Linked DNA regions of Rhinolophus ferrumequinum. The protein of the gene in region 1 binds, or shares a complex with, the protein of each later gene. Links are inferred from orthologs where the notes say so. Each region holds a gene or a part of one and is shown in the gene's direction. Other genes may lie near its edges. The genes, in order: B9D1, CC2D2A, TMEM107 and TMEM17.

What was found.
Region 2: B9D1 (region 1) and CC2D2A share a complex: the UniProt entries of both Homo sapiens proteins name them as parts of the tectonic-like complex. The link is inferred for Rhinolophus ferrumequinum from reciprocal best matches to the Homo sapiens genes B9D1 and CC2D2A.
Region 3: B9D1 (region 1) and TMEM107 share a complex: the UniProt entries of both Homo sapiens proteins name them as parts of the tectonic-like complex. The link is inferred for Rhinolophus ferrumequinum from reciprocal best matches to the Homo sapiens genes B9D1 and TMEM107.
Region 4: B9D1 (region 1) and TMEM17 share a complex: the UniProt entries of both Homo sapiens proteins name them as parts of the tectonic-like complex. The link is inferred for Rhinolophus ferrumequinum from reciprocal best matches to the Homo sapiens genes B9D1 and TMEM17.

The regions. Positions count from the first base shown.
Region 1 is NC_046304.1:160,185-168,072, forward strand, and holds the start of B9D1 (B9 domain-containing protein 1), read left to right. Parts: upstream 1-4,873; 5' UTR 4,874-5,047; coding exon 5,048-5,110; intron 5,111-6,755; coding exon 6,756-6,824; intron 6,825-7,888. Other genes in the region: tryptase gamma-like, read left to right, coding at 1,211-1,241, 2,023-2,173, 2,254-2,513, 3,049-3,215, 3,835-4,062. UniProt on the Homo sapiens protein: Component of the tectonic-like complex, a complex localized at the transition zone of primary cilia and acting as a barrier that prevents diffusion of transmembrane proteins between the cilia and plasma membranes.
Region 2 is NC_046288.1:78,839,140-78,846,300, reverse strand, and holds the start of CC2D2A (coiled-coil and C2 domain-containing protein 2A), read left to right. Parts: upstream 1-4,152; 5' UTR 4,153-4,319; intron 4,320-7,161. UniProt on the Homo sapiens protein: Component of the tectonic-like complex, a complex localized at the transition zone of primary cilia and acting as a barrier that prevents diffusion of transmembrane proteins between the cilia and plasma membranes.
Region 3 is NC_046304.1:10,814,393-10,821,565, forward strand, and holds TMEM107 (transmembrane protein 107), read left to right. Parts: upstream 1-4,422; 5' UTR 4,423-4,589; coding exon 4,590-4,676; intron 4,677-4,834; coding exon 4,835-4,902; intron 4,903-5,004; coding exon 5,005-5,105; intron 5,106-5,553; coding exon 5,554-5,650; intron 5,651-5,878; coding exon of another isoform or gene 5,879-5,948; exon of another isoform or gene 5,949-5,968; coding exon 5,969-6,071; 3' UTR 6,072-6,673; downstream 6,674-7,173. UniProt on the Homo sapiens protein: Plays a role in cilia formation and embryonic patterning. Requires for normal Sonic hedgehog (Shh) signaling in the neural tube and acts in combination with GLI2 and GLI3 to pattern ventral and intermediate neuronal cell types.
Region 4 is NC_046296.1:26,930,511-26,937,702, forward strand, and holds the start of TMEM17 (transmembrane protein 17), read left to right. Parts: upstream 1-4,179; 5' UTR 4,180-4,297; coding exon 4,298-4,397; intron 4,398-4,504; exon of another isoform or gene 4,505-4,628; intron 4,629-6,075; exon of another isoform or gene 6,076-6,120; intron 6,121-7,192. UniProt on the Homo sapiens protein: Transmembrane component of the tectonic-like complex, a complex localized at the transition zone of primary cilia and acting as a barrier that prevents diffusion of transmembrane proteins between the cilia and plasma membranes.

The DNA.
Region 1 (7,888 bases):
TGACTCAACCCCCCAAGTGTCTCCCAAAGACCCCCACTCACTCATTCACTCACTCATGCTGTCATTCGATGAGCATCTGAGCATTTAGCGAGTGGCTCCAACATGCCTGCCCTCCGTGGGTGCTCAGAGAATTGAGTGTGGTTGGGAGAGAGTTGTGACTGCGGGGCTGAGGGGCTCAGAGAAAGGCCCTGGACCACCTTGGGGGGAGGAGGCGGAAAAAAGGCAGTCTGGCGGAGGGGTTACTTACCCGGATCTTGAAGTTCAATAAGAAGCTTTCAAGCAGTGAAGGTGGAAGGGATCTTCCAGGTGCGAAGGGAGAGTGTGTGTAAAGGCAACATGATGTACTGAACACCACTGGATTGTACACATAGACATGGTTGGTTTTAGGCCATGTGAATTCCACCCCAACAAAAACAAATGCTTACGATTTTTGATTTTTAACCGGACAGTGTGTGTGCAGGCATCTAGTACTGCAAGGTTGAGGGGCAGGGAGGTGGGGCAGCAGCAGGAGGGACCCGAGGGACCCGGCAGGCCACAGAGGGCTTTGTGTCACTTGTGAAATTCAGCTGTGGGCCTGGCCTGTGTCCCATTCTACAGGGAACCAACAGGCATTCCTGGCGTGGCCCCAGCTCTCTCTACTGGAGAGCTGAGAGGCTGAGCCAGGAAGAAAGACCTGGAAGGGCTGTGAGAGGAATAATCTGGAGACTTAAGAGTCACAGCAGCCGTACTTCGAATCCCAACTCTGGTTCCAACTCATTGTGATCTCGGGAAGTCACTTCACTTCCCTGAGCCTCGACTTCCCCATCTATAAAAGGGGGTGGTAGCACTGCTTTTGTGGATTGTTGTAAGGAGCCCTGTCCTATGGATGCTACAGAGCTTTGTGGGATGGGAAGAGGTGGGGGGAGGATTATTATTGTTGCTGTCGACCGCGGTCGGCTGGTCTCTCTGACACTCACCTGAGACGGAAAGCAGGCCAGAGCTAGGAGGTCCCCGGCCCCAAACCAGGAGGGGCCAAGGTCTGTAAGCAGGATGTCTGCACCATGGTTCAGGCCCTGCCGCACAGCTTCCTCTTCCCCAGGCCAGTTCCCCTGTGCCCTATGACGTGGGCCGCATGGGTATGGGAGGGAGGGGGCATTGGGTGGTTAAATTTCCTGGGCTGACAGGGAGGAGGCCACACCCAGTGGAGTCAAGACTCGGGCCTCCTCTACAAATGCTGCCACTGCTGCTGCTCCTGCTGTTTGGTAAGGAGCTGTGGGTAGGGAGCCCGGGGAGTAGAGGGGGAAGGGATCCATCCCTTGAGGGCTGAGAATCCAGGTCTCCTGGGTGCCGGACAGAGTAGGTGACAGGCAGTGAGTAGGGGTGTCTGGCCTGCAAGGAAGAGCTCCACGTAGATGAGACCTGACCTTCTAGATTAACAAGGTGGGGGGAGGCCCAGCTGCCTTAGCAATGATCCTGTGAGAGAAAAGCAAGGAGAGCTGGACCCCCACCTGTAATGAGCTCCTGGGCAAGAAGGGGAGGAAAGCCTCCCAGAGGGCAGATTGTGGGGGGATGGGGAGAGATCAAGGAAGACTTCACAAAGGTGGGGTTTGAAGCCTGAACAGGCGTCGTCTAGGGGGAGCAGCTGGGGGATGATATGCTATACACCTGGAGGCATAACAAAGCATGAGTATTCCAAGAACTACCTTTAATAAGAAAAACAGCTAAAAAGGTATTGAACTTCAGCTTGTTTTAAATATTTGACATATATTATCACATCTAATCCTCACAACAGCCCTGTGGGTGTGACGAAGAAACTGAGACTCTGGGAGGTTAAGTAGCTTGCTCTAAGTCACACAGGATTCCACTGCAGGCAGTGTGGTTTCAAACAGGGGCGGGGGTGGGGGGCAAGAGGTGGGAGCTGCGGCTGCAGAGGTTAGCAGAGGCCTGGATGGAAAGATGGGGGCACAGAGAGGAAAGAGATGAATGGGAGACGTCCAGGATGCCGGGACCCAGAGCTGAGCTATGAGGCCTCATTCTCCCAAGGTGCAGGGCCAAGGCTTGCTGAGACCTACAGCAGAAAGGGCCCAGACACGTGGCCTTGGCAGGCAAGCATCTTCCTGGATACCCGGTACCGCTGCGAGGGGGCCCTCATCTCCCGAGAGTGGGTCCTCACAGGAGCCAACTGCTTTGGCAGGTGTGTGCAGGGTCGGGGAGGTGGTGGAGCGGGGCCCCAGGAGGGAGGACCGTAGCCTCATTGCCTCCCACTCTCCACAGCTGGCCTCAGTCCCACTACAGTGTGACCCTGGGCCCAGATCGACTGGCACTGGACACTTGCAAGAGCAAGTCCAGAGTGGAGGAGCTGCTGCTGTCCCCAGGAGGGCCCAAGGGCTCTGGGTCCGGTGGCCTGGCCCTGGCCCGGCTGGCAAGGCCACCATCTCTCAGCAGTGCCGTGCAGCCTGTGCCTTTGGCCACCTGGCCTCAACCTTTACTCAAGTGGCAGCTCTGCTGGGCCCAAGGGTTCGAGCCTGATTTCGGTAAGGATGGGAGCAGGTGATTGGGATGGTTGAGGGTGGTGAGGAGGCTGGACTGGACGAGGAGCACTGCCGGCGTGTTGCTGGGACCCTGCAGAGGTAGTACTCCTGAGTCCCTGAGCCCCAGAGGACAACCTTGCCCGGGCCAGCCGCTGGTCAGCCTCACGGACACAGACTTGCGAGGGAGAGGCAGGGCCCTGCCACCCTGCTTTGCCTGAGTCAGCTTCCAGCTCCACGCAGCCCAGATGGCTGGCACTGGGCACTGTCCCCATCCCCTCCCCAGGCTGAAGTGTGTCCCAGATCTCAGTGGGCTTGAAGCTTTCCTGAGGGGACTGTGAGAGTCTAACAGAGGACTGTTTAAGAGAGAGGTGGGGCTGAGGAGTGTCCAGAGGACTGGAAGCCCAGGAGGGTGTGTGTGGGGGGGGGAGACAAGGCAGGCAGGGAAGCTTTGCAGTATGTTAACAACTGGCAGGGCAGGACTGCTGCAAACCTGCTGGATAGCAATCAGGGCTGAGGGTCTGTCCCCACCGCCCTGCAGATCCCTACGTGCCACCCCAAGAACTGCACAGTGTCCCCTTGAGACCGCTCCACATCAGAACCTGCAAAGATGCCTTTCGCCTCCGACCTGACTGCCCTGACCTGAACGTCGGCCTGTCCAAAGGCTCCCAGTGCTCCAGGCCCCTCCCCGGGGCCCTCAAACTGGTGGTGAGGATCCCAGCCTGGCACTTGCTGGTCCCGAGGTGCCCTCCACCTCAGTCCCTCCTAGTCCCACTAGACTTGATCGAGCTAGGCCTGGTTACCCTCTCATTCCACCTGGGGTCTCCCATTCCACAAAACCCAGGGAACCGGCTTATCTGCACCCCTGATGGCCACCCCAGAGCTTCCCACCCTTGGGGTGTCTCCCCCGTTAGGTCCTATTCAAATGTGAGGCAGCCTTTGACATAGCCAGGTTGTAAACTACTGGGAGCCCCCTGGTTATTTGATAATCACAAGCATTTTGTTGAAAACTGACTTTTGTGTAATACTGAGCCTCAAAAGCCACAAGGAGGAAAAAGTTGGGTGACAGTGGTAGAATTTGTGGGGGAAAGCATTTTAACTGGGAAGACACACTGAAGGGCTGGGAAAGGGAATATGCAAGTCCCTGGGAGCAGAAATCCCTGCCTGAGAGCCTTGCGGTGCACAGGAGCCCCACTCATCCAGCCTCTCCCGACCGAGGTAGGAACACTGGCTGCCCAGGCTCCCCCTAATCAGGTCTTTGCTCACGTGGAGGGAGGGGTCAGTGGGTCTGGGCTGGCTGTAACCTGTCCTTTCCTCTCCGGCACAGGTGTCTGATGGGACTCCCCTAATCTGCTCCCAAAATCGCAGCTGGTTGCTGCAGGGCGTAATGACCTGGAGTCCCTGCATGGGGCCTGGACTCCCAGAAGTCTACAGTCCTGTGTATCCTTTCGTTTCCTGGATCCAGGATAAGGTCCCCAACGCCACCTCACCGGCTTCTACAGCTCAGCCAAGAGGCACCCTTGGGCCTGGCTCAGGCCCAGGAAGAGGCGGTTAGGGTCTTTAGCCTGTGGAGTCCTGGGTTTGAATCCTAAACTTACCTGCTGACTGTGTCCCAGTCGCCTCCCCTCCTGAATCTGCTTCCTTCTTTGTGTGATGGAGATGGATTCAGGTATTCACCTAGCTAACAAGCTGTTACAAGATGTGCCAGGGAGCCACAGATCAGGGTGGCCCTGGGGGGAGGGGGGGCGGGGAGGGCGAGCCTTAGTCCGAGTTATGACAATAATAAATAATAAATGTGCGAATGCAAACCATGAGAGCTAAGAGCAACCGGATCAATGTGTTAACAGTAGCTGCGACCCACTCGGGGCAGCTGCGGAGTAACTGTCATTTGAACAATGTCCTGACAGAGCCGTGGGTTCTGGCTCACCCCGTGGGCCTCAGTTTCCCCCTTCACACTGAGGAGCGGTGACTCGTTTCCAAGTATCCTCTGAGGTTCCTCCATCTTTGTTTAATAAACGTTTTGGAGACGACGGCCTTAAAAGCCCCGCGGGAGCGTCCCCCCGACCCGACGCGGAGCGCCCGGTCCAGCCGGCCCCCCAGACCCCGCGGCCCCGCCCCTCCCTCCGCGGCCCCGCCCCTCCCTCCGCGGCCCCGCCCCTCCCTCCGCGGCCCCGCCCCTCCCTCCGCGGCCCCGCCCCGTCGCCCCGAGATGAAGCCGCAGCGCCGCCTCCCGGCCGAGCGCTGCCGAGGCCCGCTCGGGCGGGGCAGGGCCGCGGCTGTGACGGGATTGGGCGCCGGGCTGGCTTCCGCATCCCGGCCCCCACTCCCGCCCCTGCCTCGCGTGGACTCTCCCAGCATTCCCGGAGGAGGGAGGGGCCGCGGACTGCGCCTGCGCACCGCCGCCCACGTACGCTCGCCTTCTCGAAGGTCGGGCTTTCAAGAAACGTGTTCTGCCCGCCACGCCATCTGTTTCCAGGGCAACCCCGGCGCCTGTGGGCAATCGCGCGCGGAACCCGGGTGGTTTCCGTGCGCCCCCTGCCATGGCGGCCGCGGGCCCCAGCGTCTTCCTACTCATGGTCAACGGGCAGGTGGAGAGCGCCCAGGTGAGCGGCCGTGGACCCCGCCGCGGTCCCACCCCCACGCTCCCCTGGGGACCCGCCCCGCAACCTCCTGGGCCGCTGTGTGGCCCCAAAGAGGCGTGTCATGCCTCGGTTCTGCGGGGAAAGGGAGCCAGCATTTGAGAGTCTTGGCGCGAGGTTGCTGGGAGCCCTCCACCCTGATGTGCCCGCAGAGGCGGAGCTGGGACCGAGCTCGCGCCCGGCCGAGCCTGCGGCCCCGCGCGACGATCGTGCGTGCGCCTTCTGTTGAGTCACAGCGAGCCTCGCGCGGGTTTCGCCGGAGGAGCGGAGGCGCGGCCAGCACACTGGGCCTTGTCCTCTCGTAACGGAGCTCGAGGCATCTGCCCCGTGTCCGGTGCCCTGCGAGTGCCCCGCACTCTGAACACTCAGACCCTTGAACTTGGCTGGGAATGGAGATGATTAAGTTAATTGATCCAACGATGGCGGTGGCCTGGAATGACCCAGGGAGGGTGTGCCTGTCGGACGCCAGGGGATGCTACTCGCCATTATCCATCCTCCTACATTTTATAAGAACCATTTGTGTGTGTGTGTGTGTGTCTGTGTGTGTGTGTGTGTGGTGTATAAAGTTTACTAAGTACGTATTCATTGTGTGCCATACTCGAAGCTCAGCATTGCTCATTCAGTTCTCACAACCCTGTGAAGTAGATCTTACTTCATTTTACTTCCCCATTTTACAGATGGAAAAACTTGCCCAAAGGAAGTGGCAAAGCTGGAAACTTGAATCCAGGTCTTTCTGACACCAAAGCTTTGCTCCACTGCCCTTCCAGGCTGTTGGAGATGGTGTTTATTATTTTATCATTGTGAGGATTAATGGAGATGGTTTAGATAAAGCTCTGCCAGGGCCTGAGTGTTAGTAGGTGTCTTACTGCCTTCCTGTTTCGTCAGGGATGCTCCTCCATATTCCCACCCTGTCCTCCTGCCCCTTGGCCTAGTGCCCAAGACCATCGTCCCCTCTTCTGTCTCACTTGGGGCTCTCAGCTGGACTGGGTCAGGTGTAGCATTCTCAGCACCCAGCCCGCTCCCACTCTGCCTCCCCCTCTCAGAGCTCCCGGCCCCTCCCACTCTTCAGGCCTATGCTCCCTGCGCTGATAGCCCCCTGGATTGTCAGACCTTTCACTTCAGCACCATTCCCTTAGACCTCCTCTGTGTCAGGTGCTGGGGACACAGAAAGGCATCAGACTTGTTCCTTGCTCACAGCTTCATGGGGTTGACAGGAATAAACACAGGCAAGTGCTTTGCTGGAGGGAAGCACCAGGGACTGAAGGAGCTGGGAGGTGGCCCTTCAGACAGCCTAGAAGTTAGGGCAGGCTCCCTGAAGGGTAAGTTTTGAAGGATGAGTAGGAGTTTGCCAGAGGAAGGAATGGGAAGGGCATGTCAGACAAAAGGCGGAGGCTGAGCTGAGGCCCAGGGGCGGTAACAGTTCGGGACCCGTGGAACTCCCACATGTCGAGCCCCAGTGCTCAATTCCATGTCCACATTCCTGGTTGTCACTTAGATCCCAGCCCAGGGGTCTCACGTTCAGAATGACTGTTGGCTACACCTGCCTAGCTAACATGTTGGCCTCACACGAGTTCCCATAAACAGACCCTGTGTGTGCTTGTTTCCACAGTTCCCTGAGTACGATGATCTCTACTGCAAGTACTGCTTTGTGTATGGCCAGGACTGGGCCCCCACAGCGGTAAGCTGGGCCTTAGGCCTCCTTTACAGCCTTCATGACTGTTGGCGTTTCTGAAGGTGTCAGTCGTACCCCTTCTCTTCCCAGTTTAGAACCCACCCAGTTCAGGGGGGGACCCATCCATGAGTTGGTTCCTGGTAAAGCTGGAGTGGAAAACACAAACATTACTGGGCTCACTGATCCGTGATCTGAGGCTGTGCTCACTCACGAGCCCTCGTGCGCATGGCAGCAAACAGAAATGCATGGGCAGTGCGGGCGGGCCCCAGAGAGCCAGCCTGGAAGCGGCTGAGCCAATAGACACTGTGGGCCAGTCCCTTCGTTGTTTGGCTTCTCCTCAGCTTGTGGGGAGGACTCCGGAGCTCTCCTTTTCAGACGTCCCAAGGAACACTCTGTCTCCACCAGGAGCAGGACTGTGGTGGCAGCTTCGGCCTGCATCACATTTTATGGTTTGCAGAGCTCTCATTTAATCCTCACAGCAGTTGAGGAAATAGAGACCCAACTCATTCAACCTCTCTGTTTCCTCATCGTGCAAGTGAGATGACGGTTCTTATTTTCTGTACACCCATTTGACTGAATAATTATTAAAAGTCTTCTGGGTGCCGGGGATCCAGTGGGGAACAAAGTCAGACAAAAGTCTCTATCTTCCTGGAGTGCACGTTCTTGTTGGGGGAAGACAGACACATTCCAGTATGTTAGCTAGTAGTAAGTGCTGAGGAGAAAGTAGTCAGGAAGGGAAGGTATAATGGGTAGGTGGCCAGGTAAGGCCTTGCTGAGAAGGTAGCTTTTGAGTCAAGACCTGAAGGAAAGGCCGGAATAAGCCATGTGGAAATCTGGGGAAAGAATTTGTCAGGTCGAAGGAGCAGAGAGTGCAAGGGCCCTGAGGCAGGAGAGTGCCTGGCACGTCTGAGGAACAGCGAGGAGGCCAGTGTGGCCAGTGTACAGAGTGAGCAAGGAGAGTGGTTGGGGATGAAGCAGGGAGGTCACAGACAGGCAGGTCTCAGACGGCGTGGTAGGTCAGAGTCAGGGTCCTGACCTTTCCCAGGGGCAGGATGGGACTCCCTCAGAGA
Region 2 (7,161 bases), on another chromosome or scaffold:
AAAATTAAGACAAATTTATATTTCAATTATATCACGATAAAACTGGATAAATGGCTAAAATGGCAAATATTATGTTATATATATTTTTACCATGATAAAAAAAATCTCACTGGACCCAAGTGTTTTATGCACAAGTTCACAGAACAGAGTTTGTGTGTGTGTGTGTGAGAGAGAGAGAGAAAGAAACAGACAGACATACAGACAGAGACAGAGACAGAAAGAGGTACACAGAGAGAGATTAGTCTGCTTTTTCTGAGATTAGAAATATCCTAAAAAAAAAACAATACAAAAAACGAAAAATAATATCATCTCAGTTATGAACATTAAGGCAAAAAAATCTAAACATTAGTAACTAAAATCCACCAATTAATTTTTTAAACGTTTTGACCAAACTTAGTGTACCCCAGAGACACAAGAAAAATTTGACGTTAAAAAGCCTGTTAATGCAATTCACCCCATTAAAAAATGAAAGAAGGATAATCATATTTGATTATCTGAAAAGACGCAGAAGAAGAGCTTGTGATGTGTGATTCAAGACAAGTTCTTGATTGGAAGCTCTTCAGCCAGCTAGGAACACGTAACTTAAAAGAATGAGAATTTTGTGTTTTGATTTAAAACAAATCTGCTAGACTCATTTATTTTGCTCACATAAGAATTTTTGCAAGAAATGATGTTTTCGAATTATGCCCTTTAATAATTTTGGAACATTGTGAGATGTATAATTCTTATGAACTGGTTTAGTTTAGTTAAATACGAACAGATAAGGAATGTCATAATCAGAAAGTTAATTAGCACAAGACTGGTGAATAAATCCTCTTATGGCAACTAACCACTTCAAGTAGATAATCTCTTACAATTAACATCTGCTATAGTCTGAACTGTGTCCCCCAAAACACAACCTCACATGTTGCTGCCCTAACTCTCAATATGACTGTATTTGGAAGTAAGAATTTTAGGAGATAAAGTTAGATGATTAAATGAGGTCATAAGGGTGGAGCCTTAATCCAAGTGAGGATGTCCAAAAGGATTGGTGGACTTATGAGAAGAGGAAGAGTTATCTCTGTCTCCATCTGAATACCCTGTGAGGACACAGTTAGATGGCAGCCATCTACAAGCCAGGAAGAGAGCTTTCACCAAAAACTGAATCAGCTGGCAACTTAATCTTGGATTTCCCAGCCTACAGAATTGTGAGAAAATCCATCTTTATTGCTTAAGCCCCACCCCCAGTCTATGGTATTCTATCAAAGCAGTCTGAGCTAAGACAATATTCACCTTTTTTTTTTCATTCATAAACCGTATAGCATTTGCATCTGCCAGGATTTGATTAACATTAAATTAATAAACCTAACAACCCTCTGTGGTCATTAATATTATTAACCCCATTTTACAGATGAGGAAACTGAAACATAGAAAAGGAAGTTGACGAAGATCTCTCTATGTTAAGATTCAGCATTCACCTTCTTTCTCTCTTCTACCTTCCTGGGACTCCACCAGATATGGCGGACCCCTTAAATTTCTCCTCCTTGACTTTCATCCATTCTTTCCCATTTTCCGTCTCTCTAGGCCCCATTTTAATTTTTTAATATCTTTTTTTTATGTCACTAATTCTTTTTCCAGCTCTCTTAACAGAAGTTTAACCCATCCTTTGCTTAAAAAAAAAAAATCATAATTTTATTATTCGTTTCTAAAAGCTCTAGCTTGTTCCTTTGCACATTTGCCTGATCTTTTTCATAGTATATCTCTCATATCTTCAAAGCCTCCTTTTAAGTTCTTTTATGGTCATTGTTTTTTTTTATATTCTCCATTTGATCATTGTGTTATCAGAAGTTCTTGGATATGCCCTTTGGTTGTCTACGGACTCTTGATTGTTCCCTCCTGTGTTGTCTAATTTTGGATTGTGAGCTCATCTTCAGCAAAGTATATTTGCAGCCATCTGGAATTGACTAGTTGAAGATATTTCGTATCTGCTCCTGCCCAGAATCCCACAGGAATACAGTAAACGGAGATCGCTTTTTAAAATGTGTCTCTTGGGGGAGCGTTCCTAAATGATATAGGTAGCATCAATAAGACAATTAAACAGCATAGTGCAAGCCAACGATTATAAATTCTGTGGAGAATATTTTTCCCACCACATGCAGAAAAGAAACCGAGAGATAACTTTCTGTCTCCTTGTGCCAGCTTTCAATCTAAAATAAAAATATAAGAGTTTTTCTTATATTACTTCTTTGATAAATTCTACCTTTTCATTTTCTTGGTTCTTTCTTTCCATAACTACATATGTGGAATTTCTTAACCTGAGATCTTCTCATTTTCTCTGCAATGCTTTTCTGTAAAGGTGATATGATAGATTTGTTTTGTTTTGTTTTGTTTTGTTTTTCCATTGGAGGATCCAGAAGTGTCAGTATCTGGCATCTGTTCTTTGTGACCATTCAGTTTCTCCAGAAAATAATTTTTCCATGTTTTCCAGTTTGTTACTGGGGGAGCCAAAGATATACTTTTGTTTGCCTCAGTTTTGTGAGAAGGAGAGTGCCCTACCCACCTCCCCATTTCATATTCAGTTTTCAACCCTGAAACACACCCACTGTCTGCTGTACCTGGGACTTGAGACCAGAGTGTCTATGGTTCAACTTCCATAGAAAACTCCAGTCTCCTCTGAGTGGCAGAAGAAGAGGGGGTGGGGGAATGGGCGTGTTTCCTCAGGCTGCCAGGAGTAAGGAAGGAGCTTGAGGACATAGCCCCTCTGTATACAGACTTCCAAATCTTGCGTTTCAGCCCCATAACTCTCCCCACTTTCCTTGGTATATAACTGTGCTAGTTTCCTGAGGCTGCTACAACAAAGCAGCCCACTGGGTGGCTTAAGACAACAGAAATATATTGTCTCACAGTTCTGGAGATGAGAGGTAAGAAACCAAGGCATTGGCGGGATTGGTTCCTTCTCAGGGCTGTGAGGAAGAATGGGTCCCATGTGTCTCCTCGCTTCTGGTGCCTCAGGCGTTCCCTGATTTATAGATGCTATTCTCTCTGTGTCTTCATATCCCCTTCCCTCTATGCACGTCTGTCTCTGTGCCTAGATTCTCCCCTTTTTATAAGAATGTAGTCACATTGGATAAGGGCCCATGCTAATGACCTCATTTTAAACTGAGTCATTTCCAAATAAGGTCACATTTTGAAGACCTGGGGGTAAGGACTCCAACATATCTTTTTTAGTGTCCCACTAAAAAAGATATAGTGGGACACTCTTCAGCGCATCACAACACTGAGCCAAAGCCTGAGCTTCTCTGGAGTTCTGCAGACTGGATCAGTTCATTTCCTCATTCTTACGCCTACTTACCCCATCCCACACATACACAGATACACACACAGACACACATGTATGTACATGGACACACAGAGGAACACACACTCAGAGATGTGCAAACATACACAGAAACAGAGACACACAGATACATACATACATACAGAGAAACACACAGAGACATGCATAGACACAGATACCCAGAGACAAACCAACCGAGACACGCGTAGAGATACACTCAAACACACCCAGTTACACACAGAGAGACACATGGACATGGACATGCGCACTAGTAAACAGACACACACACGCATACTTGGAGTGTGGCTTTCTTTGGTCGACTCCTTCCGTGCTCTTCCATCTGCTTTGCCTCTTCTCCTATCCCTTGGCTTTTTGAGCCATCACATTTATATCTTCGCTCAATCATTTCAGTGGGAGTCAGAGAAAAAGCAGAGGTTAACCTTGTACATTCAGTCTCCCACATTTAAGCGGAAAACACTGCAGAGCAGTATTTGCTGGGGCCTGGAAGCACCTCTAGGGAGCCTTCACTACAAAGATATCCTCACTCCAAAACAATGACCCATCATGATTCTAAAGCACCCGCCTCTGAGCACGGCCTGTCTTTTACCAGAAATGCCAGTGACCCCACACATGAGGGAGGGAACGGCTCTTAAAGTTTGACTTAACTTCTGCCCAGCTCCTGCCCCAGGTGGATTCTCTTTTTCCTTGTCCTGTAGGCTGCTTTCTGCTCTCACCCCCCACGCACCTTTGTGTTCCTCTACTAGGAATAACCTGTCACTTTAAGAGAAATAAAGCCACCAAGCCACCTCCCTTAGGAACACGTTGCTAAGTGCGTGTTTTTGCTGGAGACATGGCTGCAGCTTCCCAGGGAGCCGCCCGGGGACGCCCCAACATTCATCCCTTCGTTTGGACGCTTAGAAGATTCAACAGGAAGACCCAGCTCCACTTCCCTTTCATCCCGGAAAGCAGAATCGGCAAAGTGCCTTCATTAAAGGTCTTTCAGGTAAATCCGTTCTTCCCGGGAGCAGGGCTGCAGCACTGGGGTCCCGCTTTCGGTTCCCTGCCTTGGAGTTCAGCCTCTGCCCTCGGAGCCCAGAGCAGATTTCACTGACTTGTAAAGTTAGGGTCTCTCATCATTATTATTCATGCTTTACTTTCTGGAATTAAAACGTAGAGCACTACTCGGCTGCTTTGATTTGCGCTTCTGCCCGGGTTCTTGTGTATAGAAACGTTCAACGCAGCTCCTCACAAGCCTGGTGAATCCCTCCCAGCCGGTCACCCTGCCTCCTTCCTTGGGCTTCCATCCCCTCCATCCTGTTGCTTTCCAGACTCCCAGGAACATTTGCTGCGTTTGCATTTCCGGGCCTTTTAGCTCACATTGGTTCGAAGGGCTAAGTACTAGCTATTGCAAGCTTCACTTTTCTTGGCATTAGACAGAAAAGGGCCATGACAGACGGGGCTGAGGCTCCCTGCTCTCTCCAAAAAAAACCACAAGAAAATCTGCTGGCTGCGATTTAAACTGATTGTTTCCCTTCATTGCAAAGAGGTGCTATGAAAAGCAAATGAAGTCTAATGGGAAATACATGGATGTTATTAAATTTTCATGTAACTTCTGCAAATAAACTCAGCACCAGAATGAAGTCTCTCTCTGTCTCTCCTGGAGCTTGTTTAAAGAGACATTCATTCACACATTTCTTGAGCATCAGCAACACACCAGGCAGTGAGCGGGAGTTTAAAGGGTACAAAGATGCATTAGACCAGGTTAGAAGCTCAGGGTTTACCGGGAAGACAGACTTACAAACAGATAATAACAGTGCAATGAGCTAAGTGCCATAAGAGATTTATAAAAGGGTCTAACGCTCTTAGCACCCAGCGAGACCACCCCCAGGGAGCGCCTGAGACACTCAGTTCATCGTGTGTGTGCATCGGGCATACACCACCCAGCTCAGCTCAGATAGTTGTAGGTACTCTTTGAAGGCAATACACATTATATGAAGCTGATTAAATGATTCTATAAAGCCATTTGTCACTAACCTTCTACTACTGGAAGCTATGGTCAGAATAACTTATAGAAGCAGGTAATGGATTCAAAAAGGTGTGTGTGGCACCTGCCCATGGTTCTCACAGGATGGGACAGAAACAGTTAAGCACTGTACACAGGGAGAAAATACTCATGCTTCTGAGGGCAGGGGAAGGCTTCAAATCACCATGAATGGAAACGGAAAGGAAACTGCCCTGGGCCCAGCTGGGGAAGGAAGGGGAGATATTGCTTATTGGACCCATGGGATGAAGAGAGGAACCAAAGATGGGAATGGGGGACTTGAACATCACAGAAGGTCTTTCTTGTGACTCCCCTTCTGTCCGCTAAGCTCTTTTTCCTTCCCCACTCTTGTCTTCTACTTTCCCTCCCTACCACCTCCTTCTCCTGATAACACTAACCAGAATGGAGAGCGTGGTAAGTGTTCGGCATTTTACTACACACATTCTATTATTTAACCCTTATAAAATTATTACCCATCGAGGTAGGAATTAATGGCCCCACGTTCACAGACATAGAAACGTATCTCAGAGAGGTAAAGGCATTGCTCCAAGATCACACAACTGATAAATAGTGCTGGAATTGAACCCAGGTCCACAGAATTTTTTACAGAGCCCTCACTCTTTCTATAAACCCATGTTTTCACTGTCCTGGAGTAGGATGCACATACTATATTATTTTTTAAGCAGCCAAGGCTGAGATTCAAACAATGCCACCTTTTTCATCTACCTTCATTCCTTTCTTTCTTACATTCTGTAGAATTTGTCACAGGGTCCTTTTATGACTCTGATCCTCTGGTGACCCTCAGGGATAGTCTTTGCCTTGATGAAGGTGTCAGTACTTTCCTTCAAAAATGTCTTTGGTGTTCTGCACTGAGTTAAACAAATCACTGGCCTGAAGTAGCCAAAGCTCTTTCTCACTGAGGCAATGCTCCACAGTTTTCAATGGAAAATAGTTCCAGAATAGTGGGCTAGCATAGAACAGTTACTGATATCATTGAAAAAGCAAGAATATATGGCGAGACAGAGAGAGAGAGTAGTAAGGGGGTGGACTCTGGAATCACAGACGTGGGGTCAAGTTCTAAATATGGCATTTTATGACTATAATCTTGGGCAAATTAGGTAAACTGTCAGAGGTTAGACTCAGAGGAAACCTTGGTTTCCTTACATGTAAATTGAGGCAAGAGCTACTGAGCTAGAAGGGTTCTTGTGAAGCCTAGGGACAACTTGGATAGAGAGAGAGCACAAAAGAAACCTGCAGTAAATTATGGCTCTTATTTTGATGTTGCCAATAGAAATATATTAACAAGTGCTCAGTGCATATGACGACAAGTGGTATATTAAAGTTGGGGAGTATTGATTTATCTTTTCTTAGCAAGAGTGTTCATAAAAAAATAAATTTTGTTGTCATTAGAAACTCATTCAAAGGTAATGATCAGGAAAGAATGAGGAGAAAAAAATCAACCCCATTACATTTTTCATTTTCTACTTCTACTTCTTTCTTTCATACATCACACTTTTTAATTTATTAAGAATCTTTTTTTAGTTACTAAATGACTTCACAGTTCTTTTTCTCCAGTTCTTAATTGCCAGAGTTGTTTCTTAGAGAGCTTTTGTGTCCTTCAGCATTATCTGCCCCCTTGTTTTTTCTAGAGTACCTCTTCACATTTTTATTTTCTTAGCTGCTTTTATCATTTCCCTTCCGCTCTTTCTGTAGCCTGTGTGGAGGTGTAGATGGGAAACAGTTGAATTTCCAGTGCTCTGCTCCCCGTTAACGTGCTAATTCCCGATTAAAGTCAGTGAAACCC
Region 3 (7,173 bases), about 11 Mb from region 1:
TAGGGAACCAACCCATTATTCTGAAAACTGGTAAATAATAGAGGGGACAAAAAACATACATTTATCCAGTCTTTCCTGTATGACCTGTATCTCGTGGTAAACAACGAGATGATGAGGGCACATTCTTATTTATAGCAGAATCCCAAGTGATAAATGCAGAAGGAATGATAGAATTAGGACATCCTTATTTTGCAACCCTTCATGAAATAATGGAGCTAGGCCGTGATAATCAATTAAACCCATAGGTGAAAAGTGATAGGGAACTTTATAATGGTTGTCTCAGTCTAAACCCACTGCTCAGATTTTACACCAGAAAAAAGAGAGACAAGCAGGCATTAAGTCCTTCCTGCTGTGATGGAATAAGAAGTACAAGCCACCACTCATAATGTATTTTTACCAGAAAATTAAACGTGGGACTTATCTCACAGCCAGTTTACAGGAAACACAAGGCACAGAGGAACATGTTAAATGACCCAACCAGAACACAGCCCATAAATGGCCTGATGTCTTCAACAGATAAATTTCAAGAAAAGAGAAAACAGGAGGAAGAAGGAGGGAGGAGAAGAACCTGAGATTAAAAGAGATTTAAGAGACACATGAACCAAGTACAATGTATGGACTTTATTTGGACGTGATTCAAAGAAACTGTAAAAAAAAATGTTTGAGGGGGCAATTTGAACTATTTGGTGATGTCTGAGATTTTACTTGAAAATAAGCTAATAGGGATGGGAGGGAGAGTATAGAGGAAGCAAGGTTGGTCACGTGTTGGTAATTGTTGATATAGAATGATAGGCTTCAAAGAGGCTCCTTATGCTATTTTTTAAATTTGTATATACGTTTAAATTTTTCCATGACAAAATAATTTTTTTCTAAGTTCTTTTATGACCAGGTCAAATAAATGTTAGGACGTGAGAGGGTTCCAGCTCTGGAGTGAGTGAACACCAAGTCAGCAGCAGTACCTCCTATGACCACAGGGCGGCTCCAAAACGCAACGTTTTTGAGATTTCTCTAGGTCACGCTTCTGTGAACCAAGGTAATGGAAAAATGACAGGACATAGCTAAATGCCTGCCTGCTATTTATTAATCCACAATGTGAAATATGACTACGCGGTTCTTACTATCTAGTCAGTCCCCCAGTCAGGAAGCCTATTATAAGCAGAATGCCCCAAACTTCCAGCTGCTGGAGCCCAAAATCTGTCATCCTTGACCTCCCTTTTTTTCACCAACCCATAGCCCCATGTTCAGACCTTCTTATCTTCTAACAATCTCTTGATTCCTTCCACTTTACCTTCTTGATTCCACCCTGTTTCAACCTCATCCTGTCCTTCCTGGATAACTCTATGGTTTCTTCACTAGCCTTCTATTTGAAATCTTCCTAAAATTCATTTTCCATGTTGCAACCAATATCATCTTTTAGAATACAAACCTGATCATGTCCTTCCCCATGGTTGCAAGGCCCAACATGATTTGACCCTTGTCTGTATATCCCATCTCACCCTGATCTTTTTTCCCCCTTCCATTAGCTAGGCTTCAGACACACTAGCTTCCGTTCTGCTCAACAAACACACTGGGCTTGTTCTCACCTAAAGACTTTTGCACGTGCTGTTACTCCACCTAGAATGCTCTTTCCCCAGATTGTCACACAGCTGACTCCTCTATATTCTCTTTGTTCCAGGGACCTCATTTTGTAAAAGCAGGTCCCAGTCTTTCCTCATTTTCACACTATGACAATGTTTCCTTCATGTGCGAACAGTCAGACTTGATAAACTGCCACTGGAGGAATTTGGCTCTGAAGGCCCTGGCTTTCCACTCTTAGGAGAAAAGGCTTGTAAGTTATAGGCAGAAGGAAGAAAAGCATGAGGAGGCCTTCGGTCCTTGCATCTTGTCTATGTGCTAAGAATGTTTCCATGCTTGCTACTCTGTAATTTCCACGTTGGAGAATACAGGATTTCCACCTCTCATTGTACTTTAGGTGTCATCAGTGTCACTCATTTTGAGGGTCTCACAGTGATGAGGGTCACCTCAAGGGAGAGAAACAGTTGGGTCTACTGTACTTGATGAGTTTGCCTGTCCGGCCTGACATAGGGGAGGTTTGTAAATATTTTCAGAACTTTGAAATGGTTCAACAGTTAAAAGAAACTCCCCCTGCACATCTGAGAGCTGAGAAACCAGTGTGGGTAATATTTGATTATCATCCAATATTTTTTTGAGTAGAGAATAAAGAGATTTTGTGGACCTCACTCTTGATAAAAATAATTTCTCTGAAAAGTCTAAATGATTGCAATTTTTATTTTATGAGTTTTGGAGATCAATTGTCTCCATTATGAGGAAAAGGTTGTGCTGTATTATATGTAAATACCATTATATGGTTTCAATATATGGTCCAACATTTCGGGAACTGCAATCCTAGAAATCATTCGTTTCATAAAGCAACTTAATGTCTCATTAATAATATTGTATAATACCTGGAAGAAAAACTTTAAAAGGGCTTATCATGTAAAACTTATTTTAAAATAATTTTATTTACAGAAAAGTTACAAATACAAAGAATTCCCATATACCTTCATCGAAATCATGTTTGTTTTATCATTCTATCTCTACAGACACATATATATTTTTTTCTAAACCATTTGAGAGTAAATTGCAGACATGCCACTTTATCCCTAAACACTTCAGTCTTTAGGACATCTTCTTCCATGAAGACAATAGAATTATTTTCAAAAATCAGGAAATTAACACTGATCCATACTATTATCTAAGCTAGAAATCTTATTCAAATTTTGCCAATTGTTCCACTAATGTCCTTTATGATAAAATAATAAAAGAAATGAAGTTATTTTTTTCCTGGTCCAGGATCCATTAGGATAACACATTAAATTTGTCATGCTAAATTTGTCAGGTCTCTTTAGTCTCCCTTAATCTGGAAATGTTACTCTCTGTCTTTCATGACCTGAGGAAACATCTTCTGACTATCTTTTTGAGTTCTGAATCTTTTCACCCACTGGTTTAGAAAAAGGAAGTCCACTTATTACACTGGGGTCCTGGAAGAGAGAAATGTGTTTCTTCACAATTTAGACCACATTTCCTTAAATAAAGGTTAAGAACACATGACCCATTTTCAAAGAGCCTTTCCTTAATCAATATTATTCTAGTGTTTCCCTTTAAAATTTTTATTTATAGCACATAGTACCATGCAGATTTGTTATTTATTTGCATGTTTGCTGTCTATCTCCCTGACTGGACTATAAACTCCATGAAGGTAGAAACTTCTGTCCTGTTCGTCAAGAACAAGAGCCCAGCACAGTGCCTGGCACTTACTAGCTGGTCAATGAATATTTGTTGAATGAATGAATAAATAAATCAATCAGAAATAGAAATGCCTCTTGGACTTGCAGTTTAGACCGCCTTAAAAGAACTGAGATAGGGAGTGGGAAGAGAGCTAGCTCTTCTGGAAAGTGGGCAGGGAGGTCCCTACAAGAATGTTATTGGACTCTGAGCAATAATCACAGGTGAGAACTTTCCGTTCTTTAGGGATCCCCGTTGAGGCCCAAAGGTCAGTGAAGTCGCCGACAGTTAGAAGTTCTTGGACTGTAACTGGGCAAAGTCGGGTGTCCACACCTGAAAGATGTAAGGAAATCGAAGCAGTCTGCATCGCTGCCCTCTCCTCGCCTCCCAGGGACGCGGGTACCATTCCCTTCCTCCAATCCCTCCTAGTCGGCTCCGTAGTCCACTCCCTTCCCAAAAGACGCTTCTCATCCACATTCTAGTTCAAGAGAGCTGGCCATTTTCTGCACTCTGCAAATCTCTCGCCAAACTGAGCAAAGTTGTCTGAGGGGGAATCAGAATCAAGGAAGGTTCAGGTCTAGGGTCCTAGAACAACCAGGGGCTCCGTGACAATAAGTGACAGCTGGACAATCTAGGGATATCCACCTCTCCACGTTCGGCTTCCTTCGTCTCTTCGGGCCCAGGGCAGTGGGATGCTAGAGAGACGCGGAAGAGGAAAGGAGAGAAAGTGTCCATGCCTAAGGCATGGGGGTGCCCTAAGTCCCGCACGGCGGTGACAAGGGTCAGCAGCGAGTAACTCTTACGCGGAAGGTCATCCTGGGCTACGCAAGGGGGTGTGGGCCCGGGTCGCTCCTGAGGTAGGACATCGCGGAGGAACGGGTGTTCCCAGGCTAGGACAGGGCGGTTTTCCGTCCTCTGGACCCGCGTGGGAAAATTCGGCGGTGCGGGACCCAGTCACACAGCACAGTCTCAGGTGCAAACAGACGGCTCGGCTGCGCGTGGGGAGCTGGCGGGAGGCGGGCACCCTACTGCGACCACCCTCAGCTGACCCCAGACCCACGCTCTCCAGGAGGTCCACTGCGACTCGAGAATTTACTGATCTCGCGAGATTTTCAGAGATCCGGTCCTGGTGTCCGCCTCCGCGGTTGCTAAGGCAACTGGGCGGCGCCAGTGAAAGCGGGAAGACGGCGTACGTCGAATTTTTGCCTGCTAACCTGGGAGACTTTCAAGAGTGGCGCTGCCTGAGCTTCCAGCCTTAGAGACCACGGCCTCTGCTCCAGGAGGTGCCCTTACCCCTCGGAGCCATGGGCCGGATCTCGGGGCTCGTGCCCTCTCGCTTCCTGACGCTCCTGGCGCATCTGGTCGTCGTCATCACCTTATTCTGGTCCCGGGTAAGATCCACGGCCACCCTCCACCCAACCCCCATTCCCACGTCGGTGTGGTCCCAGCCCAACACCGCTCTATCCCCAGGGCCTGACCCGGTTGGGTCTTCCTATCCCCCGCTGCCCACCCCTCTTTCACTTCTCTTTCTCTGTGACCTGCTCAACAGGACAGCAACATCCAGGCCTGCCTGCCTCTCACGTTTACCCCTGAGGAGTATGAGAAGCAGGACATTCAGTGAGCACTTGGGGAGGGGTGGTCAGAATTAAGTAGTAGTTGGAGTGGAAGGGTCTTAGAAGAAGTCCAGAAGGCCTGAGCCAACCCCCTTCCTCTCTGCAGGCTGGTGGCAGCGCTGTCTGTCACCCTGGGCCTCTTTGCAGTGGAGCTGGCCGGTTTCTTCTCAGGAGTTTCCATGTTCAACAGTACCCAGAGCCTCATCTGTATCCTTTCTGCCTGCGTACCTTTCCCACAGGGGCCATTGCCATCGCTACTCCCTTCAGCCACCTAACTTTTTGGTACAATAGTGCCTGCCCTAGCAGGCAAACAGAATCTCTCCAGTTGAGAGATCTTCTTAGATAATTTAATACAATCTCTTGTGTAGCCTGGGGTAAATTGGGAACCCACTTCTACCTCATCTGAAGAGTCCAGGCTGGCCCCTAGATCTGGGATGGGGGCAGCCTGCGGTCCCAGCTGTGCAGGCTCAGCTCTAGCCTCTACTCACATGGCTGTCCTAAAACTCAGAAGGCAGGGCTACTGGCTCTGTGCCTTCGCAATTGGCGAGGGAGCAAGAAATGAACCAGACACAGATGCCAGCCCCACCACTGGCCTTTTCTGGTCCACCACTGCCTCTGGATCCAAAGACTTTCCTTGACTCAGGGGCGTTCCCAGCCATCGGGGCTCACTGTAGTGCGTCTGTGGCACTATCCTTTTTCATATTTGAGCGTTGGGAGTGCACCACATACTGGTACATTTTTGTCTTCTGCAGGTACAGTAACATCCAATGTTTGGGGATGGGATGGGGGAGGAAGGTTTACTGTAAATCTGAAGGTAGCCCCACCCAGCCCTTTACTCCATGTGTGAGATACCAGATCCACTCAAAGTCCTGTATTTAGTTTTTTGAAGTCCCGCTCCACCTATACTTTGGGGGTGGGGTCTCTGGTTCGGGGATTTTTATTGGAAGGGGCCCTGAACCCACCACCTTAACCTTCCATAGTGCCCTCCCAGCTGTCACTGAAATGGCATTATTCATCAGCGTCTTTGGGTTGAAAAAGAAACCTTTCTGATCACTTTCATGGGAGCCTAGGGAGGAAGGCTGGAGAAGCAAGGGACCATTGACCGTTCCTGGAAGGAGGAAAGCAAAATCTTCAACCTTCCCCCGTAAGACTGCATTTGGTGGAGGATTTTAAAGTAATTATCTGTCGAGTCTGGGATTATCAGCGTTTTATTTAATGATTTGTAATAAAACCTATTTTAGAGTAAGATCAAGGCTTACAAAAATTTCAGAGGAGAATTGGGGTAGCCAAACTACTAGAGAAACGGAAGGCTGTTTTCCTTGCAGATTGTATCGCTTTTTTGGTTATTACGGTAGACGCCGGGCAGAAGGGAGTGGGCGGAGATATGTAAATAAGTAATGCCAGCAGGACTGCAAGATCGTGGAGTGGAGCATTCTGGGGAAGTTAGTTTATCCCTTTTGGCAGCCAAATGGGGAAAAACCTGTATTTTAAAAAGATCTGCAAATAAATGTAGCAACAGAAATGTAAGAATATGAATATTTTAGGTAGCTCCGACTAACATGTTATATTCTCACCCTTGCTTATAGCGGAATCTTTTTTACTGAATATGGTAATGCCGTCAGAAGTTCCTTATCGTCAGGTAGGATAATCCTTACCTGTTCCTCTTCGGAGGACAGATTAGAATGTGATGATTGGAGTTCGCATGATTCGTGATTAACGTCTCTGCGTAATCAGGTCTTGCAACACCCTGATTGCTCCTATCTGATTCTTCCTGGCGATCATTTCTTTTACAATTGTAGTAGTTGGAGTTTACTGGTTGTAGGTTTTACTTAATGAGTGGTTTTGTTATCTCGTTGTTTTAGTTTGTGGAGTGTCTTTAGGCGGATTTGTTTGGAAGCTGCTAGTTCCGTTTTCTGACCTTGAGGCTCTACGTTAACATACAAGATTTTTCTTTCAATTTCTGGGCCAATTCAAGTGCCGAGTACTCCCAGTTTTTTTCTGGAGAAATCTTTGTCACCAGTAAATGTTTTTTGTTATCTCTGGGCTTTGCTATCAAACGATCGTTAATGTTGATCATACCACGTGGTGTCATAAATGGTCTTTTGTCAAACCTTCCACCTCACCATGGTGAGAAGGGCACGTGCTCAGGGAGAATTTCTCTGGTGGTTGGAGCTCCTACCCAGAAACCTGGCAAACCTGTTGTTCGCAGAGGAACACTCCACCTGTTAGCATCTGCCTGCTAGCACATGAAAAGAACATGTTTAAAAGAAAAATT
Region 4 (7,192 bases), on another chromosome or scaffold:
GTACTAGGGATTCAAAAAGGTTTTGATTAGCCATTAACAATTTGAGGATTATAAGATTACATTTCAGGTTATTTAAAGATTTTTTTAAATGCTGATGTGGAATCATATCTGAAAATATTCTATCCAAATATACAACTTATCTTTTAAACTTGTCTAAATTCTTACAAATGTTTCACATATCATTTTAAAGCAATAAATTGAACATGTTCCCTTAAAAAATATTGTTTCTAAACTCTTTATTAGTATCAAGTAGAGAGAATTTATATCTTTATTATGCCAAGGAGTAATTTAAATGACTCCCCCAATCAGTTTCTTGTCACATAGCATAATACATTTACTGCCAGACAACTTTGCCTCTTGTCAAAGAGAAACAAATCAATATACTAAGCTCAAAATTTTTGTGAAAATATTTAGGAAAGTAAACTATAAATGCAATTAAACCCAAATGAAATACATTAAACGATTATTGGGGAAGCAGCTATTACTCTGACCATCAACTTTGGCATAGGAAGTAAACAGTTTATAGGATTATTTACTAATCTTGCTGGGATTATTTACTAATCTACCCATGATTTTAAGAACAGAGACTCTATACTCCTCTCTTTATATTCTGAGTAATAGGTCTAGAATATGGGAAACCTAAATTACACTAGGCTCTTGAATCCATGTTCTCACTATGTGATTGCCTATATACCAAGGGTGCTAAAAAAGTGAATACAAGTGGACACTTTGGTCAACGTTGCTCAAACAATAGTTCACCATAATCAGAAGTGTCTGGACGCTGCTGGTAACCACTTTGAGCACCTCTTGGAAGTCAAACATGACTTGTATTCATCTTTTGTTATTGGTATATATTGAGTATTACAATTTTAATGCTGTTTTCCTTTCTTAAAATGTGTATTGGCACCCCCGGTGAGCATCAACTAACAAAATAATATTTGAAAGTTGTTTTAGCCCTTTGGACCATTTGTGACATCAATAATGGCAGGATTCTTTCCGAATCACAATACCTTTCCTCTCAAAAATCCTCTCTAATATATTTTTGTACTACCGTTGCCTCTTCCTCTCAATTTATTTTTAATAAGATTTGTTTTGAACTATGAAAGGCACGCTTATTACAGGAAACTTGAATGATAAATAAAAAGAAAAAAATACCCATAATTGGTCAACTTTTCCCCCAAGGATTTTGATGGAATAATTGCAATCTGAACAAGGTGTTTCACCTCTTTTTTCAACGCTAGAGAGAAAAAAAATCTTTAAAAGATTCACTCAGGCCTTGATTTAAATTTAGTTAACATGGTTAATCACATCCTCTGTCTTTACTAGAAAATAGAGGTGTTGTCTCATAGGTACAGTTGAATTCAAAAAATTAGATGCTGGCATGATTTTAACTCCACTGTAGTACATACTGTTTAAATAGATATGTCAATGATAGCTATCACTTATAGAAAGCCCTGTTTAATTATATAATCTTCACATCAACCATAACGTAAATTATCATTATTCTCACTTTACAAAACAAATGTCTGAAATTAATTACACAGCTCTTAGATGGTAAAATGAGAATGTTAGGGGATTTGAACCCTGCTCTCTCTGCTTCCAAGGGCATCCTTTCCACTACAGCTCAGCACTTCATCATGATCTGCTTAACTCCCCTCTTTGGTTAGGCACTTCAAATGCTCCCCCACCTTTTACTTTTTTAACTAATATCAATAATGTTGGAAGTAATATCCTGATGTATAAAACTTTGTGTTTATAATTATTTCCCCAAAATAGAGCCTTAAAATCAGGATTATTGCATTAAAGGCAGGAATATTTTTAAGGCAATTCATAAATATTGCTGATTTGCTTTCCTCCGTGAAATTGTTCAAATTGTAATTCAATCAGCAGAGCATGAAGCTTCCTGCTTCACTTTGCCCTTTATAAAAATCTTGGTTAATTTAATAGATGAAAACTGATATTTTTGTTGCTAAATTAAAATTTTTTTTGATTGTTATAATTCATTGTGTTTTAATATATAAATTCTCCATTCTATAGAGTGAAACTTTTATAAGGGCTGGCTAAGTTTCTGAACTAGAAATGAGAAGATATGTGAGTGATCTTTAGACCTTTCATTCCCCTTATTCATTCAGTAGTCATCCAGTTTCCACTCTAGGTCAGGAACTGTACTCTAGTGTTCAGGATATAAAGATGAAAGCCCATTATGAACTCAAAGAGCTTGAGAACTAGCAAAAAAAACCAGACACAAATAGACAATTATATTAATAGCATAGTGTGACTAGCGCTGGGACCAAAGTAACACAGAGGAAGATGTTGTGAGAAACAGAGAGGAGGGCACTTAAGCCCTACTTCAGGAAAGTCCTGGAAGCCTTTCTGAGGATGTTGAGGCCTGAGATCCATCTTAAAAAAAAGCAAAAGTCGGCCAGCTTTTCCCTAACATCCCCAACCAGAATTAACTGCTTCCTCATCTGTGTTCCTTTCCTAATGTGTATTGTACTTATTTGTTTCCATGTCTCTCACTCTCTCACTGGGCTGAAGTTCTTGATGGGGAGGGACTATATCCCTATTTAGCCTAGTACAATGTCCCAAAAAGTAGTACGAATGAAATCAACATTTGCTGAATTATTTTGAAATTCTAGCCATGTAGCTGTTCCCTCCCATAACTTCCTCTTGACATTTATACTCATATAAATACCTGTGGTTTTCCTTTTAATTGTAAAAATAATACTGTTCATCACAAACCCATCAGAATGGCTAGAAGGAAAGGAAGGAAAATAGGAAATGTTGGTGACAGATTTAGAGCAACAGGAATGCTTACATTGCTGGAGGCAACAGAAACTGGTACAAGGACTTTAGAAAACTGCGGGCAGCATTTATTAAAGCTGGGTCACACCTCATAAGCCAGCAATTCCACTTCTAGAAATAAACCCAACACAAGTGCATGCAAGTGTTCACCGAGAGGCATATTTTCACCAAAAGCAGCACTATTCATAATAGGTCCAAACTAGAAAATACGTATGCTCATCAACAGAATTAATAAACTTACTGTGTTATGGTCATACACAGCAAGGAAAAAGAATCTACACTCAACAATATGACGGAGTTTCATTAAAACAATTTTGATTATTAAAAAGCCAGATTTTTAAAAATAGCACTTACAATATTACTTTTATATAAATCATAAAAATAGGCAAAACTATACTATGTTGTAGAAAACAGGAAAGGTCAGTTAGAAGTGGAGGTTTAGTGACTTTTAGGGAATAGGAAGTAGGGGAGCTTCTCAGTATGCTGGTAAGGTTGTTTCTTGAGCTGGGTGCTGGTTACAAGCGTAAATTCAGTTGGTGCCCTTTTCTGTACAGCTGACCCTTGAACAACATGAGGGTTAGTGATACTGACCCGCCAGTCAAAAATCTGTGTATAACTTGTAGGCCCTTCTCATACGTAGATTTCCAACCACAGATTGAAAAGCATATTATATTTCAGTGGCTTTTTAAAAAATAATACATCTTATTTGAGAGAAAGCTGAAAAACACAGAAATGTTTTTAAAAATTTAAATCAGCCAAAACCCACTATCCAGAAATAACTACCAACATTTTGAATTATTTCCTTCTAGTCTTTTTTTGAAGCCAGTGCTTGTGCTACCTCCTCCTCTCAGCGCTCCACATATTTACACGCACACATTTTGCTAAGTTGGGTTCATTTCTATTTAGTTTTACTTGTTTTTTTAATTTTACTTAAAGTTAATCCTTATCATCAAATATTCGATGCAAGCATTTTTTTAAGCTGTTGCAATGTATTCAATCAAATGTATGTATATATACATATACACACATATATAGTGAATGTATATGCACACTCTTCTAAGTATATTATATATTAGGAATATTATACATATATATCACTAGAATAGGAACTATTGGGTCATGAACATTCTTTAAGCCCTTCATTCATTCTATATTTCCTTCCAGAAAGGTTGCACCCCACCAACAAGGTATGAGGGGTCCATGTATCACAATCCAACCCCAGGTCATTTATGATTATTTCTATTTGTTTTTAGACATTGGGGCTTAAAACAGGACTAAGGAATCTGTCGTTTCGCACCTGGCTAAGGTGCCTGGCAGGAACTGGCTTTCCACAAACACCTACCTTCCCGGCTTGCGGGACTGAGACCGGTACCTCAACCCCGCTGTGCTGCTGCGCCTGCGCCCTGGGCTCCAGCACCACCCGGTTGCTGTGGGAACCGCAGCACTGGGCTGCGCCCGCACACCCAGCTGTGAGCGGTACCGAAGCCCGGGCATGGAGCTGCCGGATTCGGTCCGTCTGCGGCTGGGAAACTTCAGCCGGACCGTGTTCAGCGACTCCAACCGGACTGGGCCGGAGTACAACGAAAGTCCGGGTGAGTGGCTGAGGCCCAGAGCAGTGTGTGTGGCTCACCGAGAAACTGGCGCGGGTTTTGGAGCGGCCAGATTTTGCCCAGACCTAAAATGGCGGTTTCGCCTTCAGCTGGTTCTCCGCAGTGGGTGAAGTACCTTCGAGAGGCCGGGCCAAGAGCTGGGGCTGGGACTGGGACGTATCTCAGCCCTGATACCCGGCCAGTCCGGGGTTGATCGTGCCGCGGCCTGGCCAGGTAATTGCAAGCTGGGCAGCTGAGGTGAAGCTGGTCTTCCTCAAAAAATAAAAATATGAAAGCCGCCTTCACAGCACACATCAGTTCCCACACCCTCTTTGAAGGCCAGCGTTGCTTTTCCTTTGCGACGTCAGCCCTTGGTTTTCTGACTTAGACGGAGGGAATCACCCTTTCCCACTCCTCACGCCGGTAAAATATCTTTTCCTTTTCTCTTTTCCTAGCAGAACAAGTACGTTCCACCACAAGGCGGTTTTCTGGCAGAAGAGATGGAAAGTTTTTTTTTTTCAATGAGTCATTTTAAACCACTGTCCACTCCAGAGTGACACTGGCAACACTAGCATCGCCTTCAACAAAACTCTTCCCACTTCCCCACCTTCTTCTTTCGTTCCCCTTTATAAACTCTTTCCCTAAATCTGGTAACAAAATACATTTAACATGAGACAAGTGATAACACAATTTCCTCCAAAACAGTTTTCCCTTTTTAAATCATGACGATAGACCTCATATTGTCAACCAAATCCAGTTTTTTATCACTTAATTCTGCGGGAAATATAAATCATTCCCTTTTGCTTGGTTTAGGTATTTTCAAAAGGATCAGAGAAAAGTAAAGTTAATTCCCATAGCTGCATTTTTTTCAACTTGATTACTTGCAGGTCCCCCAAATTGAGGCTTCTTCAGATTTAGTATGTACAGAGAAAAACGTAATGTGAAAAAGTAGGTTTTTACATCTCTGATTCTAAAGCTAAGGCTCAACAGGCTCTAAAATCTGATAATGCAAGGTACCATGGGTCAGCAGACATTTTCTGTAACGGGCCAAATAGTAAATATTTAACATTTTGCAGGCCACAGGTCTCTGTGGCAGCTACAGTATAGATAATGGTAACTGAAAAAATACGGCAGTTTTCCAATAAAACTTTATTTATAAATAAAGACACTGAAATTTGAATTTCTTATGATTTTTCAGTGTCACAAAACATTATTCGCTTATTCTTCCCCCAGCCATTTAAAAATGTGAAAAACCATTTTTAGCTCACTTGCTATATAAAATCAGGCAGCTGGCTGGTAGTTTACTTACCCCTGATTATATTACATAATGTTTTAATTTAAATTCCATTTACAGAACTTAACATGTACTTTTGCAAAATTTAGTAAATTCATTTCTTATGCTTTCATGGTTCATTTACATATTAACTTGATTTTCAACTGCATGATTATAAATTTGATCTGCTGAAATATACACATAGCGTAACTCTTAAGATGCTCATGTTCAAAAGTTAAAAAGAAAAAAATCTTCCTTGCAAAAGTTGACTACAGTTTCTGCTCCAAAGGTATTAACATTATCAGTTTAAAGAATTTATCATTATTTTTCTACATTTTCTTCTTAGTGGATCTGAAATGGGTTTGATTATTTGTACTATAATTATGTTTATCATTACCATATCCACAGCTGACCAAGAATTGTACTGTTGTTATGAAAAAAAATCCTAGGATGGTAAGTTGCCTTCAGATTTAACAGATTTTAAGAATTCACTCTTTTATCAATGGTAATTTAATAAACAGTTACAACCAAAAGTAGATCATAACAATATTTAAAAGTAGATCATAATAATCAGACATATTCTTGGAGCTAAAGGAAACCTTATTGCTGTGAGACCATGATTATTTCTTATATTTTAAAATTATTAAATGACACATAAAATACTAAGTTGTGGAGAAAAAGAAGAAATCTGTTTTTTAAAAATTTATTTTAGAGCCTTTGTAAATTCTTACATTTAGAGCAATTGATTTCAAAATATGTATCTGCCCCTAAATTGTTAGAATTTACTAAAATTTAGTATGCATACGATTCAATTTAAAAAATAAAGTTCTTATTTTAGGACCCTTCTACCTTACATAAAACCAAAACATATTCTATAATAAGTCTTAAATAAATGCAACTGATGTATCATGAAGGTTTACACTGATAATGTCCTTATGACAATCTGTTTTCATTAGTTCATTCTTTCTGTTAATGTGTATTTGGTATTTACCATGTGTAAAGCAAGATGCTAGAGTCTATGAGGGTCTCAAATTTGGGTAGAATGTGGTCTTTTCTTACACTGAGGCTGTATATAAGTGAAAGAAAAGGAAAGTAGACGAATATTACTGAGAGCCTTTTAGGTGCCAGGCATGGTTAAGGTGAAATAATTCATATTATCTCTAATCCTCACAAGCAACCTGTGAGGTCATTTTAATGTTACCATTTTATAGATGAAGAAATTGAGGCTCAAAGAGGTTAAATAACTTATCTCAAGTATGGCATCCAGAGTTACAGGAAAGTTTGGGGAGTTCCAGGTTTACTTGGACTCCAAAGCCCATGATCTCTTTAGTATACCGGACTGTGTCTTGAGTGAGTGGAGTGTGGTTCTTTGCTAGCACTTCTTATATACAGGTTAGAGTTATAAGTACCTAGAGGAGAAAGAAGTACCTAGAGGGGATCTGAGCAAGAAAGGATTTATGGGAAAAAGTGGTATTGAACTGAATATTAATGAATGGGTGGGATTGTGGTATATTTAAAGAGGTGT